Linked DNA regions of Canis lupus familiaris. The protein of the gene in region 1 interacts with the protein of each later gene in a biochemical or structural test. Links are inferred from orthologs where the notes say so. Each region holds a gene or a part of one and is shown in the gene's direction. Other genes may lie near its edges.

Region 1 (7,158 bases):
GAACATCGGTTTTAAGGAACCCAAGGTAGTAAGAACGACCCTCGCTTTTATTTCGAAGCAGAAGTTTCCTTTTAGAGACTTCTCATAGCAACAATAAATATCACATAAAAATAAACTTTAATATACGGAGGAAGAGCTCTGAGAACACTTTGAAACCTGTTTGGGGGCCACTGTGCCCCCTGAAGGCTGCCCAGCCACATTTAGGACAGTTAGATGTCACTGGAATCCTCTTTTGGAGACATTCCGGGTGGAGACAGTAAGCTGCTTGACCTCCCGGGGCCCAGCGTTGTTTCAGGTCAGAGGAGAACAGGATGCTCAAGGGCTGATCTAGATGCTGCTTCATGATGTATTTTTCCTGTTTGTTGATGGGGATCCATCCAGGTGTTTGGGAGCATATTCTGGGAAATTTTTCTCTTAACGTTAGCACATATATCTTCATTCTGTTCCTTGACACTTTATATAGGTGGTTCGAGCATAAACATGTACATTTAAGTTGAACTTTTTATCTTGCTAAAGTACAAACATACCATAGCAGAGACAAAGTATAGTGGCCTTCCAAGTAGTCATTTCCCAGATCAACATTCTATTCACCTGGTGGGTAATGGGAAATTCTTTAAAATTGAATTCGTTTGGCCGTGCATCGAAGGGGGGGCCCAGCAGGGACTGAACGGCAGTTGAGCAAGTGTGTGTGTGTACACAGAAGTAAACATGAAAGTAGAGGTTGTGTGCTTTGTCTTCAACACGTGTTGCACAAACCGGGTAGTCACACCCTCCCTGAGGAGGAACCAAGGAGCTTCTTTGCTGAGTGTTACTTCAGGCGCCCAGTACAGTCAGGTCCACAGCTTCATCATCATCCGTTGGCTGGAGTTGGATCTTCTGTTCTGGCAGGTGTTAGAACCATCACTGGGCGCTCCGGTGGCTCAGCCGCTGAGCATCTGCCTTTGGCTCGGGTCGTGATCCCGGGTCCTGGGATCGAGTCCCACATCGGGCTTCTCCCACGGAGCCTGCTTCTGTCTCTGCCTGTGTCTCTGCCCCTCTCTCTCTCATGAATAAATAAAATCTAAAAAAAACCAAAACCATCACTGTCAGCATGCATAGCAACAATAGCATATGCTTTACATTTATAGAGAGATTTCTTTCATGTCTCAGTTGATCCACCAACATCTGTATGATAGGGGTAGGCTCGAACAAGCATGTACTAAATTTAGAGCTAAACCATCTGAACCCACTTGAGACATCTCCTCTGGTGCGGAGGAAAGAAGGAGAAAGGAAAGAACAGACATGTATCAACTCCTGTGACTGCCACCTGGGAATTCTAGAGTAAACTACAGTAGGAATTTTCTTTCGGCCCATGGGGCTGGGTTCTGGGGATACCCTGGAATAGTCTGACCTGTGAGCAGGGATTTGCAACAGAAACTGCTTCAGTGTTCATTCGGCTTTTATGAAAAAATCAAAAGTGGATCATGGTTTCTTTTTTTGGGGGGGGGGTTTATCTGGGATCTCTCAACAAGGAAAAGCTTCTGCCTTGGCCTTGGAGAGAAAGCACGAGTGTGGGGAGGGGAGCACGGGGAGGGAGACGCAGACTGCTGAGCAGGGAGCCCAGGACCCCGAGATCATGGCCTGGACGCGTACCCGAGAGCCAGCCGGGCGCCCCCACGTTCCTTTTACTGCTCTGGAGAGCTCGGCTCGCTGGCCCGTCAGTGTTCGAGAAGGACTGGAGTTTGGTTGCGGCTGTGATCGTGCTTGTCTTTAGTGCTGGCGCTTAGTGGGTGTGGGACCCTGAGGACCGCCCTGGCCCTGGCCCTGGCCCCCTGGCTCCAGCGGGAGAACAGCCCGGAGGGATCCCCAGTTCACCAGGGTCGGAGCTGAACCACTCAGGATTTTAAGGTAGAATTCGCTGTGCCTTGAACCGTTGTGTTTCATGTGACCCTTGGATAAACCTGCCCATTAAAATGGAAACACATCATCTTTATTTTTTTATTTTTTTTAAGATTATATTTATTCATGAGAGAAAGAGAGAGAGGCAGAGACCCAGGCCGAGGGAGAAGCAGGCTCCCTGCGGGGAGCACAACGCGGGCCTCGATCCCGGGCCCCCGGGGTCACATCTGGGCCGCAGGCGGCGCTAAACCGCTGAGCCCCCGGGGACCCCCACACCTCATCTTTGAAATGGAGCTCCTCCCAGGGGCGGCGGGGCTGAGGAGCGCCCGGTTCCGCCCTGCGGGAGCCGAGGTCAGGGGCTCAGCACCGCGGCGCTTCCGTCGCGCAGTTCAGGGAGCCGCGTCGGTCGGGTTTCGTATTTTCCGTGTGACTTGTGGTCCCAGAGGCCCGAGGGGAGCCGCGGGCTGGTCAGTGCGGCGGGCCGGGCCCGGGAGGCCGGCGGCTCCCCAAAGCCTCCAGAGAGGCTGCCCTCCCCAGGGCCCGGGCCGAAGGTGGCCTGGGCTCCCCGCTCTCGGCTGGAAATAGCCGCTCAGGAGGCATCGCGCCCCTTGGTCCCGGGAGGAGCCAGTCGGCGGGTCTAGACCTGGTGCCGGTGTCCGAGCCGGTGTCCCCGGGGCAGCCGGTGTCCCCGGCCGGACCCGCTGTCAGCCCTGCTCCCCTCCCCGCGCCTGGATCTCTCCACTGTTAGTCTCATTATATTATTTTCAGTACAGATGACTTCTTAGCTGGGAAGTGATCTAAATGTCCTACAGGGGGACGCCTGGGGGCTCAGCGGTCGGGCACCGCCTTCGGGCCAGGCCATGACCCCGGGGACCCAGGATCGAGTCCCATGTCGGGCTCCGCACAGGGAGCCTGCTTCTCCCTCGGCCTGGGTCTCTGCCTCTGTGTCTCATGTATACATAAAAATTTTTTTGATATTATTTATTTATTTATTCAGAGAGAGAGAGAGGCAAAGACACAGGCAGGGGGAGACATAAAATCTTTAAAAAAATACAAATTTATTTCCTACCTGTGTAGACTTTTCCAAAAACTAAAGTTGTAAGTCAGAAAAATTGCTTTTTGACACATTTGTGATTAGAAAAATCTAGACGTGGTACGTCGGCCTAGCTTTGTCACAGAGATCAAAATAACCATTACTCTCGTGGCAAGACTCTCCCTGTATCTTAAAACTTTTAGTACCTTCCATCCTTCCCTGGAGCCATGTTTGTTTGTTTTTAATTTATTTTGTGTTTGTTTTTAAGAGGGTTATTTGTGATTTCCCAGAAGTGAAACCCTTTCCCAGGGCAGCCCCTTGCAGCCCCCTGCTTCACCTGCGGGTCACGAGATGACCATTAGCCAGGACTTCCCCGTACTCATTTGTGCAGGCCTCCGGAGCGAACACCCAAGTCCGGAGATTGTTTCCATAAATGAACCACAGGAACAAGAGTTGCTAGAGATGATGGGGGAAAGTAATCCGTGTAGGAAACACCAAAAGAATGGTGCTGTTTCACAGCTGCTAGATTGACATTTAGCAGGGGTTTTCCCCCACTCTGTAAACTGGATATTTGCTGAGTTTAGAAGAAACTCCACATATTTGATCATGTTTCCCAAACTCCCATTTCTCATAGTAAACCAGTGGCTTGGAGTTACTCTCATTTCTGTATTCCATTAAACACGTGTGGGGCTTCCCTTAATTCAAGAGCTTTAATGTGCGTGTTCCTTTGCTCCGTAGTGACCTCTACTACCACCCGGTCATTAATAATCCAAGTTATAAGTATTAGAATGGATGGCTGTTTGTACGTTCTTGTTTCTTGATTCATTGATTGGAATTAACCGTGTCCTTCCAGAACATGGGATCTGTGTTCCCATTCAGATCGTCATCTCCCTACCACCGGCCATCAACAGTGGCATAATGTAAACTACATGATATCTGCCATTTTAAAAACCATCTTAACCATGGTCTCTCTCTTTCCCTTTTTTTAAACATAGGACATGGATTTGATTGACATACTTTGGAGGCAAGATATAGATCTTGGGGTCAGTCGAGAAGTATTTGACTTCAGTCAACGACGGAAGGAGCATGAGCTGGAAAAACAGAAAAAACTTGAAAAGGAAAGACAAGAACAACTCCAAAAGGAGCAAGAGAAAGCTTTCTTTGCTCAGTTACAACTAGACGAAGAGACCGGTGAATTCCTTCCGGTTCAGCCAGCCCCACACATCCCATCGGAAACCAGTGCATCTGCCAACTACTCCCAGGTACAGAAAACTCTGTTCTTGGGAAGGTGTGTGGCAGGGTTTATGGAACTAATACCGACCCAAGAGTTAAAACATCTGGATTTGAGTTTCACTTCACCTTTTTTTATGCCTTTTACTGTCTTCATGACCATATCAAGTCACCTTCCCAACCTCAGCTTCCTGATGAGTTCCTCACAGAGTTGTAGGATTGGGAGGACATAAATCACGGGAAGGTGCTTTCTAAGCTGTGGAAACATACGTAAGTGTCAAGCAGCAGCGGTGGTGGCAGCGGTAAAAGTAGTACAGAGTACTCGCATCTTGTCTGCAGATGAGCAGTTGCAGCTCAGAGATTCAGTAACTTGCTTGCCCGGAGCGCTCAAAACTGGGGAAACCAAGATTCAAACCCAGATAGTCTGGTTGATTTGATTCTGTGCTCTGTACTACACTAAACTGATTTCGGAAAGAAGATAAATGTCTAACTAAATTATAAACACCGTATGACACTGAACAATCTTTTTTTTCTTTTATGTCTCTCTCTTTTATCTAGGTTCCCCACATTCCCAAGCCAGATGCTTTGTACTTTGATGACTGCATGCAGCTTTTGGCAGAGACATTCCCGTTCGTAGATGACAATGAGGTACATTTGGTTAACAGTGAAACTCCTCCACTATATCTAATCACTGTATCTAATATATCCTCTAAGTGTGTCTCCGGTAAAAAAAAATATTTTAAGAGGAAATTTTGTCAAAGAATCCTTAGCCTGTAGATAACTTTACAATTAAAAAAAATATATCTCTACAAAATATACACTTACTGCTGTATAGCCAGAAGCATGGATCTGCATAACCATGGAAACAAATGACTCATTGGTTGTAGGTACTTAGAAATAAATTTTGGTGTGTAAAAAGCAAGCTGGGTAATAAACCAAGACTTGCTCAATTAACACTTTTAGTAAATTTATTATGTTTGAAGCACTATACTAGATATTTTTACTGAGACATACAAATTAAAAATCCTAAAGATTTATACTTATTTTGAAATTTACCTTTGAATGTATAGGATAAAACAACTAAACTAGTAAATGATTAAGTTTAGAGTCGGGCAGGGGAAAAAGAGATTTGTTTCATTAATAAGTGGTTTCATAAGTGGTTATAACTAAAGAAATAGAGAACTGTTAGCCAAGTCCAGTTGAAGGTGTTGTGGGGGTGCCTTGGGGTGTACTTCTCCACTGATGCTGGCAGACTCATGGAGATAAATGCTCTGTCAATTGTAGGTTTCTTCAGCTGCATTTCAGTCCCTTGTTCCTGATATTCCCAGCCAAATCGAAAACCCAGTCTTCATTGCTCCTAATCAGGCTCAGTCACCTCAGACTCTTGCCGTTCAGTCAGTCATTGCTGATTTAGACAATATGCAGCAGGACATTGAGCAAGTTTGGGAGGAGCTACTATCCATTCCAGAACTGCAGGTAACTAAGATCTAATATCAATAAATACCAAAGACACTTTGATATTCAGTGCCTTTAATTATCCAGTTACTATTTACATGCCACCTACTTAATGGAAGGATTGGAAGGTGCTTTTTTTAATATTTTATTTATTTATTTGAGAGAGAGGGAGAGAGCAGGAGAGCATAAGGGAGAGAGCAGGGGAGCATAAGCGTTGGAGAGGGGGAAGCAGGGAGCCCGATGTGGGGCTCCATCCCAGGACCCTGGGATCATGACCTGAGCCATGGAAGCTGCTTAATTGAGTCACCCAAATGCCCAGGAGGGTGCTTTTATTTTTATTTTTTTATTCATGAGAGACAGAGGCAGAGACATAGGTAGAGGGAGAAGCAGGCTCCATGCAGAGAGTCCAATGCAGGACTCGATCCTGGGACCCTGGGATCACACCCTGGACTGAAGGCAGAATCTTAACCACTGAGCCACCCAGGCGTCCCAGAGGGTGCTTTTAAATTAGTCCTGAGAGGGGCACCTGGCTGGCTCAGTCACAGGAGCATGCTACTCTTTCAGAGTTGTGAGTTTGAGCCCCACCTTGGGTGTAAAGATTACGTAAATAAACTGGAGTCACAAGAGTTGCCCATGATCACTTACGTGCAGTTGTTTTTTTTTTGTTTGTTTGTTTGTTTTTTAATTTTTTTAAGCTTTTATTTATTTATTCGTGACAGACAGAGAGGCAGAGACACAGGCAGAAGGAGAGGGAGAGAAGCAGGCTCCATGCAGGGAGCTGGACACGGGACCTGATCCCCGGCCTCCAGGATCACATCCCGGGCCAAAGGTGGCGCCAAACTGCTGGGCCACCTGATTGTCTTGAGGAAAGATCTGGTCTTTGTAGACCAGAAGTCTGACCTAGGAACTGTGAAAATAATGTACATACTTAGACATAAATATGTTAGAAATGGATGGGAATTAGCTGAATTACAGAAGAGCTTGGAAAGAATGGGGGTGGGGAATCAGAATCAGATATAGATTTCCAGCTTTTAAAACTATTTGCCATCAGGGGCACTTGGTCGGTTCAGTTGGTGGAACATGGAAATCTTGATCTCGGGGTTGTGAGTTCAAGCCCCATATTGGGTATAGAGATTACTTATAAAATCTTTAAAAAATAAATATTTGCCATGAAATATAGACTATCTGCTATCAAAAATATTTCACCTTGATTTACATTTAGTAAAAATTTCTTTTCCACAGTGTCTTAATATTCAGAATGACAAGTTGGTCGAGACTAGCATGGTGCCAAGTCCAGAAACCAAAATGACAGAAATCGACAACAATTATCATTTCTACCCCTCAATGCCCTCACTGGAAAAAGAAGTAGGTAACTGCAGTCCACCTTTTCTCAGTGCTTTCGAGGATTCTTTTAGCAGCATCCTCTCCACAGAAGATTCCAGCCAGCTGACAGTGAACTCATTAAATTCAGATGCCACAATAAACACAGATTTTGGTGATGAATTTTATTCTGCTTTCATAGCAGAACCCAGTAGTAGCAACAGCATGCCTTCCTCTGCTTC
Region 2 (7,158 bases), on another chromosome or scaffold:
TCTATCGGGGCGGTGTCCAGGATGACAGGCTAACCAGCCTCTCTTCCTCCTGGTTTTGTGGGACAACCTGCAAAGTACAGGAGCTCAGACACAGGGTGCATAGGGATGCAGATCCTGTATCCTGAGGTCTTCTTAACAAACTGTTTCAGTGTAAGCCAGGCCGCCCCCCCCCCCCCCCTCAGTGAATGTTGTTTCACTCTGTCTGGAGTTCGATGCTCTGGGAAACATGTTCTGGGCCCCACTGTGGTTCACACTCTCTGCGGGCACTTTGGTGCTCACGTGCCCTGTGCCAGGAGCCTCATGCTTCAGTTAGAGGCGTGTCCTCTCTTAGCTTGAGACAAGGCAGCTTTGGAGAGAAGCAGCTCGGGAGGGAAGCGTTAGCTTGAAAAAGAAAGCAGAACTCATTTGGAGTGATTGAAGTTTCTAGGTAAGACATCAGAGGATGTAAAAGACCTCTTGTGAGGTTTAGGCTTAAAATCTTCCTCGAGTACCTCAGATTGAATGTATGACTTCACAGCTCTCAAGGTGGGGTGTCAGGGATGCTAATAGGTGCGCTAAGGCTTTGGAAACTTGGTGCACTCCCCTGGTGTCAGGTCGACGGTTCTGGGCCTCGTAAACACACACCGGACGGTAGAGGCCTTGTCTGAGATAAGGGGGATGCCTGGCTCCTCACTGCCCGTCTATCTGTCCTGAAGTAGCCTGTCCTGAAGTAGCCGCAGTGGACACTGGTGTTGTCTTCTAAGGACATTGTTACTTACTTTCTTCCACTAAAGCCATGTTTACTCCTAATGAAAAGTTACATTCCCCAAATAAAAGAAAACAAGTTGCATCACCTAATGTTGTGTGGCTAGTGTGTCACGGGCCCATCTGGCACCCGCCTTTGTTGTGCGCCGTGCTGTGCCACAGCTGGTCGGGAAGTGCCGCTTGGTATCTAGCCCTTGAATTTGTGGAGAGTCACTCATTTCTGTTTATTAGCAATTACTGCAATATAGATTGAAAAGAAATAACTAAGGGAATGTTGAAGGAAACAACAAGGAGGCCCGCTTGGAAGAACTAGCTGTTCTGAGTTTGGAACAGATACTGTAACTTATACAGTTTAGCCTCTTGGCATAAACAGCTTCCTTAGGAACCCTTTGACGGGCAGGTTCTTGAAGGCTTTATTCTTTTGAAGTAACAGAAGGATAGAAAAGAAAAAAAAAAAAAAAAAGCATGTGATTCAGTGTTTGAAGATGGGTGACAGGTATTTCCCAGATCCTGAACCTACAGCTGACTTACTGAGGAAAGCCAAAGACAGCATTAGATTTTGCTATGATTTCAGTAATTTGGAGGAAAGGACTTTACTTGGCAAATAAAGACAAGGGTGGCCCTAGCACAAGAGCACAAATGCGTGTGCTTTTGACTTACATAAAACAGTGTTTGCATTTTGAACCCCCCCTGCACGTGGCGGTGTTTGCAGGTCCGTGAGAATGAGCCTGGTGATGCACTCACTGTTCAATCCGAAGAGGGGGACGGATAGATCCTTTGTTCTTGCAACTGGTTTTCCAAGAATTGATATAAAGCAGGAAGAACAGAAAAACAGCAGTGATGAGTAGGCTGCTCAAAATATTCTTCCTTTTATGTGTGCAAATCCTCATTTTGGAAGCTGTCCAGAGCCAAGACACATGGGTGGTGATTGTGGCCAGAGTCTGTTCTGTGTTTTCACAAAAGCCTGCTAATCAATATATGGTAATGTTTATGTTGGTGCTGTTTGAGGGCCCTGTCCTGGTGGCGTTGTCGGCCAGAAGTTATTTGTAAGGTTTTAATAAAGATCTGATCTTGGAAGGAGTTGGCCTAAGCCTATGACCCTAATATTACGTCTCCCATGTACCGTGGTACACAGAGACACCGGCTCTTACTAAAGGAATTCTTGATGGAATTAATTAGTAGGTATTTGTTTTACACATGGCTTTATGTTGCATAGGGCATGAGAGCTGGTGCCCATGCCGGCGTTACGAGAGCTGGAAGGCTGGCATTCTAAGTGGCCTGCAGTGAATCAGCTGGACGAGGACCGGGAGCCCTGCGAGTCAGACCTCCCTCCTCTGGGGTTTTGCCGTCTTACATTCTCAAGGACTTCAGTCTCCTCAAAGTTGGCAGTCAGGTTTTCCAAGATGAACCTGCTTCCGAGCCGTGATTTTTTTTTTTTTTTTTAAACAGTGCTCGAGCAGCTCAACAGCATTACAGGGAGATGCCTTGGCTGCTGGGTGGTGTCTGTGGCTCTGCGGGAAGGGCTGCCCATTACTGCAGGCTAACGGCAAAGCCCTGTGTTTTCTCCGGTCACAGCCATTTGTTTGCTTTGCTGTGCTGTTCTGAACGTCGAGAGCGTCCCCCGTTCAATGGCCTGTTTTGCTGTGTCTTGGTTTTAGGAGAGGAAACACAATGTCGGTCAGCGTGCACGAGAACCGCAAGTCCAGGGCCAGCTCCGGCTCCATCAACATCTACCTGTTCCACAAGTCTTCCTATGCCGACAGCGTCCTCACGCATCTGAACCTTCTGCGCCAGCAGCGCCTCTTCACCGACGTCCTCCTCCACGCGGGGAACAGGACCTTCCCCTGCCACCGGGCCGTGCTGGCCGCGTGCAGCCGCTACTTTGAGGCCATGTTCAGCGGCGGCCTGAAGGAGAGCCAGGACAGCGAGGTCAACTTCGACAACTCCATCCACCCGGAGGTCCTGGAGCTGCTCCTTGACTACGCCTACTCCTCGCGGGTCATCATCAATGAAGAAAACGCAGAGTCGCTCCTGGAAGCCGGCGACATGCTGGAGTTTCAGGACATCCGGGATGCGTGCGCCGAGTTCCTAGAAAAGAATCTGCATCCCACCAACTGCCTGGGCATGCTGCTGCTCTCCGACGCACACCAGTGCACGAAGCTCTATGAACTCTCCTGGCGAATGTGTCTCAGCAATTTCCAGACCATCAGGAAGAACGAAGATTTCCTCCAGCTGCCCCAGGACATGGTGGTGCAGCTCTTGTCCAGCGAAGAGCTGGAGACAGAAGATGAAAGGCTCGTGTACGAGTCTGCAATTAACTGGATCAGCTACGACCTGAAGAAGCGCTACTGCTACCTCCCAGAGCTGCTGCAGACGGTGAGGCTGGCCCTCCTCCCCGCCATTTACCTCATGGAGAACGTGGCCATGGAGGAACTCATTACCAAGCAGAGAAAGAGCAAGGAGATAGTGGAAGAGGCCATCAGGTGCAAACTAAAAATCCTGCAGAACGATGGCGTGGTGACCAGCCTCTGTGCCCGGCCTCGGAAAACCGGCCACGCTCTGTTCCTCTTGGGAGGGCAGACCTTCATGTGCGATAAGCTGTATCTGGTAGACCAGAAGGCCAAAGAGATCATCCCCAAGGCCGACATCCCCAGCCCAAGAAAAGAATTCAGCGCGTGTGCAATTGGCTGCAAAGTATACATCACCGGGGGCCGGGGGTCTGAGAACGGAGTCTCGAAAGACGTCTGGGTGTATGATACCCTGCACGAGGAGTGGTCCAAAGCCGCCCCCATGTTGGTGGCCAGGTTTGGCCACGGCTCTGCCGAACTGAAGCACTGCCTGTATGTGGTCGGGGGGCACACGGCCGCAACGGGCTGCCTCCCGGCCTCCCCCTCCGTCTCTCTAAAGCAAGTAGAACACTATGACCCCACGACCAACAAGTGGACCATGGTGGCCCCACTCCGAGAAGGTGTCAGCAACGCGGCGGTGGTGAGCGCCAAGCTCAAGCTGTTCGCTTTCGGAGGTACCAGCGTCAGTCATGACAAGCTCCCTAAGGTTCAGTGTTACGATCAGTGTGAGAACAGGTGGACGGTGCCCGCCACCTGCCCCCAGCCCTGGCGTTACACGGCTGCAGCTGTGCTGGGCAACCAGATCTTCATCATGGGTGGGGACACCGAGTTCTCGGCCTGCTCCGCCTACAAATTCAACAGCGAGACGTACCAGTGGACCAAGGTGGGAGACGTGACCGCAAAGCGCATGAGCTGCCACGCTGTGGCCTCCGGAAACAAACTCTACGTGGTCGGGGGATACTTTGGCATCCAGCGGTGCAAGACTCTGGACTGCTACGACCCCACGTTAGATGTGTGGAACAGCATAACCACGGTCCCGTACTCGCTGATCCCCACTGCGTTCGTCAGCACCTGGAAGCACCTGCCTTCCTAAGCGCGGCGCCCTTCGGGGGATGAGCGTGAGGTAAGGAGTGGTCCCGGGTGAGTATGCGGGGAATTGAGCGGCGCGAGTCCCTCCAAGAGTGAGAGTGACCGGTGCAGAGGTAGTCCCCGAACTATTCAAGTCAAACACCCTGCTCCCCAGAATGGAAAGCACCGGGGTCGACCGCAGCTGCCCGGCCCTGCCCCTAACTGGAGCCGGGGGTCCCAGCCTTGGCTGAGCCCCCGCGTCTCCCAACCAGCATCTCAAAACTGCCCGTCCCAGAGGTGGGATCTGGGACGGGCATCGCCAGGGGGTTCTCTCATGATGCTGTTGTGCGGCCCAGTTGGGAGCCCCTGCCTTGTGCCTTAGGTTAATAATGCCAGCCAGGCTCTGCTGGGCCTCCCTGCACACCTGGGGCCGGGGGCTCCGTGGGTCACTTCGTCTGATCCTGACAACAGCCTTGCGAGATACTATTCCTAGAGCACTGTAGGGATGGGAACAACCGGTGCACAGAGGTTGAGCGACTTGCCCAAAGTCCTAGAGCTTCGTAGGTGGAGGAGCGGGTCGAGAAACCAACCCGGGGGCTCAGGCTCCAGAGTGGAAGCGCTTGAGCGTTTGCTGAACTGCTTCTTAACAAACTTGAGCTTCCTACGGGTTATCACCCCAGGAGATATTGGTTGATACTCAAATTTCGATTCCTCAATGCTTTCTGGAATGAAGGAGGGTGTAAGAACCGGAATGCTTAAGTTTTTTTCCTAGTTTGTTTTCTCTCCAATTATTTATCGCTTATTTAAAAATTTTTTCCTCAACAAAAAAAATAGCCCCCTTTAGGGCATTTATTAACTTCAGAAGGAAACCGGGGTCTCTGCTCGTAAAAGGTTACACCTGCGTTGTTTAAATTTGTCTGATGCGTGGACACACTGAGCCATCCAGACTGCCTTACACGGCAGCCTTTCAGAGTTAATCAGACAGGCTGACCCTTTTGTCAGGGCGAACAAAAGTCGTCTTTCTGTGTCATATATCTGAGTCCATAATGGTCGTCTTGTGTGCTTAAGAGTATATAATACTCTTGGCTCAAATAATTAATAGGCCGACGCAGTTCAGTGTTCGCGAAGCTAATGGCCGCTTTGCTGCCGTTAAGCATCCTTGCTCTTGGCCCCAGGAAGCACTTAAGCATGTCTTGAGGGCAGCACGAGCACGTGGAACGTGTTGATTGGCTTTGGTAATTCGCGGGCTTGTTATTAATAATAAGAGAATAAAGTTAAAACTCTGCTTTGGAGGAAGCACAACGAAAACTAACCCATTGCCTGGGAAGCTTTGGCTCTGTGATCCGAGTATGTGTCACACTTTTCTTTTTTCTGCCTTTTTTTTTTTTTTAAGACTTATTTATTTATTTATGATAGACATAGAGAGAGAGACAGAGACACAGGCAGAGGGAGAGGCAGGCTCCATGCAGGGAGCTGGATGCAGGACTCGATCCCGGGACTCCAGGATCACGCCCTGGGCTGAAGGTGGCGCTAAACCGCTGAGCCACCCGGGGATTCCCTGTGTCATACTTTTTCAAGAGGACTTTCAGAGGGGAAAACGGAAATCTAGGGATCTTTGTGAGCTGAGCAAAGAGGGATTTCGACTCATTGGTCTTTCCTTTCCACCTTTCTTATAGCTCATTTTCGAACATCACTAAAATTGGCCTCATTTTGACAATGAATCTTTGTTTTTGTTTTTGTTTTTTCCATTGGTTCAGTTGTCTCCTCCAGCCTGTTAGAGTTAGCACAGCTTGCTAATAGGATGTAACCTTGGAATGAAACTCCTTCAGAGGAGCTGGAACAGTCAGAAACCTCCTGTGGGGAGTGACTGTGCTGACGGCGTCCCACACCAAACTGGTTTTTGCAGCCTTGCTGGCATCTCAGTAATCCTGAGTAAACAAATGCTCTGAACGTGGTTATTTCATCTGCGATATGAGTGCATGACTCACCTCTAAAGCAGGTTTAAAGAACCTTCTGGGCAAAAGCATCAATTAAAAGCACACTGAGTTCGGTGTTAGCCCAGAATTGACTATATTTGCAGAGGAGAGCCAAGCCCTTGGCGCGATGGTGGCCGTGGACAGGCTGGCATCTTTGGACTGAAGGAAGGAAGGAAGGAGGAAGGAAGCCGAGGCAGGGAAAGACCACGGTGCATCCCGGTCTGGGTTTCCGGGGTGCCGTCTGGAACCCTCTGGACTCAGACCCCTCCTTTGTCCCGTGACTGTGCTGCACTAGGGCTTCTGCACGCTCTGTCCCCACTCAGGCCCGGGCTCATTGATAAATGAGGGAAGAAAAGGGGAGAGAACACGCTGCCCAGCATCTGGCCCATGTTAAGTGTTCGACACTCTTAGGTTTCTTCCCTTCTTCAGCTGAGACCTCGGCCTGCCACGGAATTAGCTTCGCGTGTGGTGGGGAAGTGCGGTTCCTCTGACTGCCACCCACTTGTTACCTCTAGTCTTCGTTTTTTTTAGTGCCTCCCCACGCAGCCCAGGGGATGTTGTCTGGTGCTCGAATTCGCCCCATCCTGGCTATTTGATCCTAATCACATACTTCTGGGCCCTGGGAACCGAGCAGATCAAGTGTTAGGTCGTAGGTGCAGCAGCCCCAGCCCCGGTGCCGCCCGTCGGAGTCCAGCCCCGAACAGGGCAGTTTGACAGGGTCGCATTGGCCTCTTTAAGGGCGGTGTGGGCCTCATCAAAGCCACCCTTGCGGTCTCCCATAGGGAGAATGTTGGTGTAAATTTCTGAAGTTTTCTACACACAATATAGTGTTAAAACACTTAAGCTGGATAGGGTGACTTAAAAGAGGTGCTGTGCAGGTTTCAGCCGTAAGCTGCAGAGACTTCCGGAACGTCTCTTTGATCTCAGACGTGGGTGCTAACCGAATTAATACGTGTTAACAAGAGGTTTCCCTGGGTCTAAAAGCTCATTCACCAGGGGGGATTTTAACTGTCTCCTGCTGC

What was found.
Region 2: the proteins of NFE2L2 (region 1) and ENC1 form a complex in vitro, tested with the Homo sapiens proteins (2 studies listed by BioGRID). The link is inferred for Canis lupus familiaris from reciprocal best matches to the Homo sapiens genes NFE2L2 and ENC1.

What each region holds. Positions count from the first base shown.
Region 1 is NC_049257.1:21,322,274-21,329,431, reverse strand, and holds part of NFE2L2 (nuclear factor erythroid 2-related factor 2), read left to right. Parts: intron 1-3,906; coding exon 3,907-4,173; intron 4,174-4,699; coding exon 4,700-4,789; intron 4,790-5,425; coding exon 5,426-5,617; intron 5,618-6,838; coding exon 6,839-7,158.
Region 2 is NC_049223.1:56,427,192-56,434,349, reverse strand, and holds part of ENC1 (ectoderm-neural cortex protein 1), read left to right. Parts: intron 1-2,402; 5' UTR 2,403-2,415; coding exon 2,416-4,185; 3' UTR 4,186-4,215; intron 4,216-7,158. UniProt on the Homo sapiens protein: Actin-binding protein involved in the regulation of neuronal process formation and in differentiation of neural crest cells.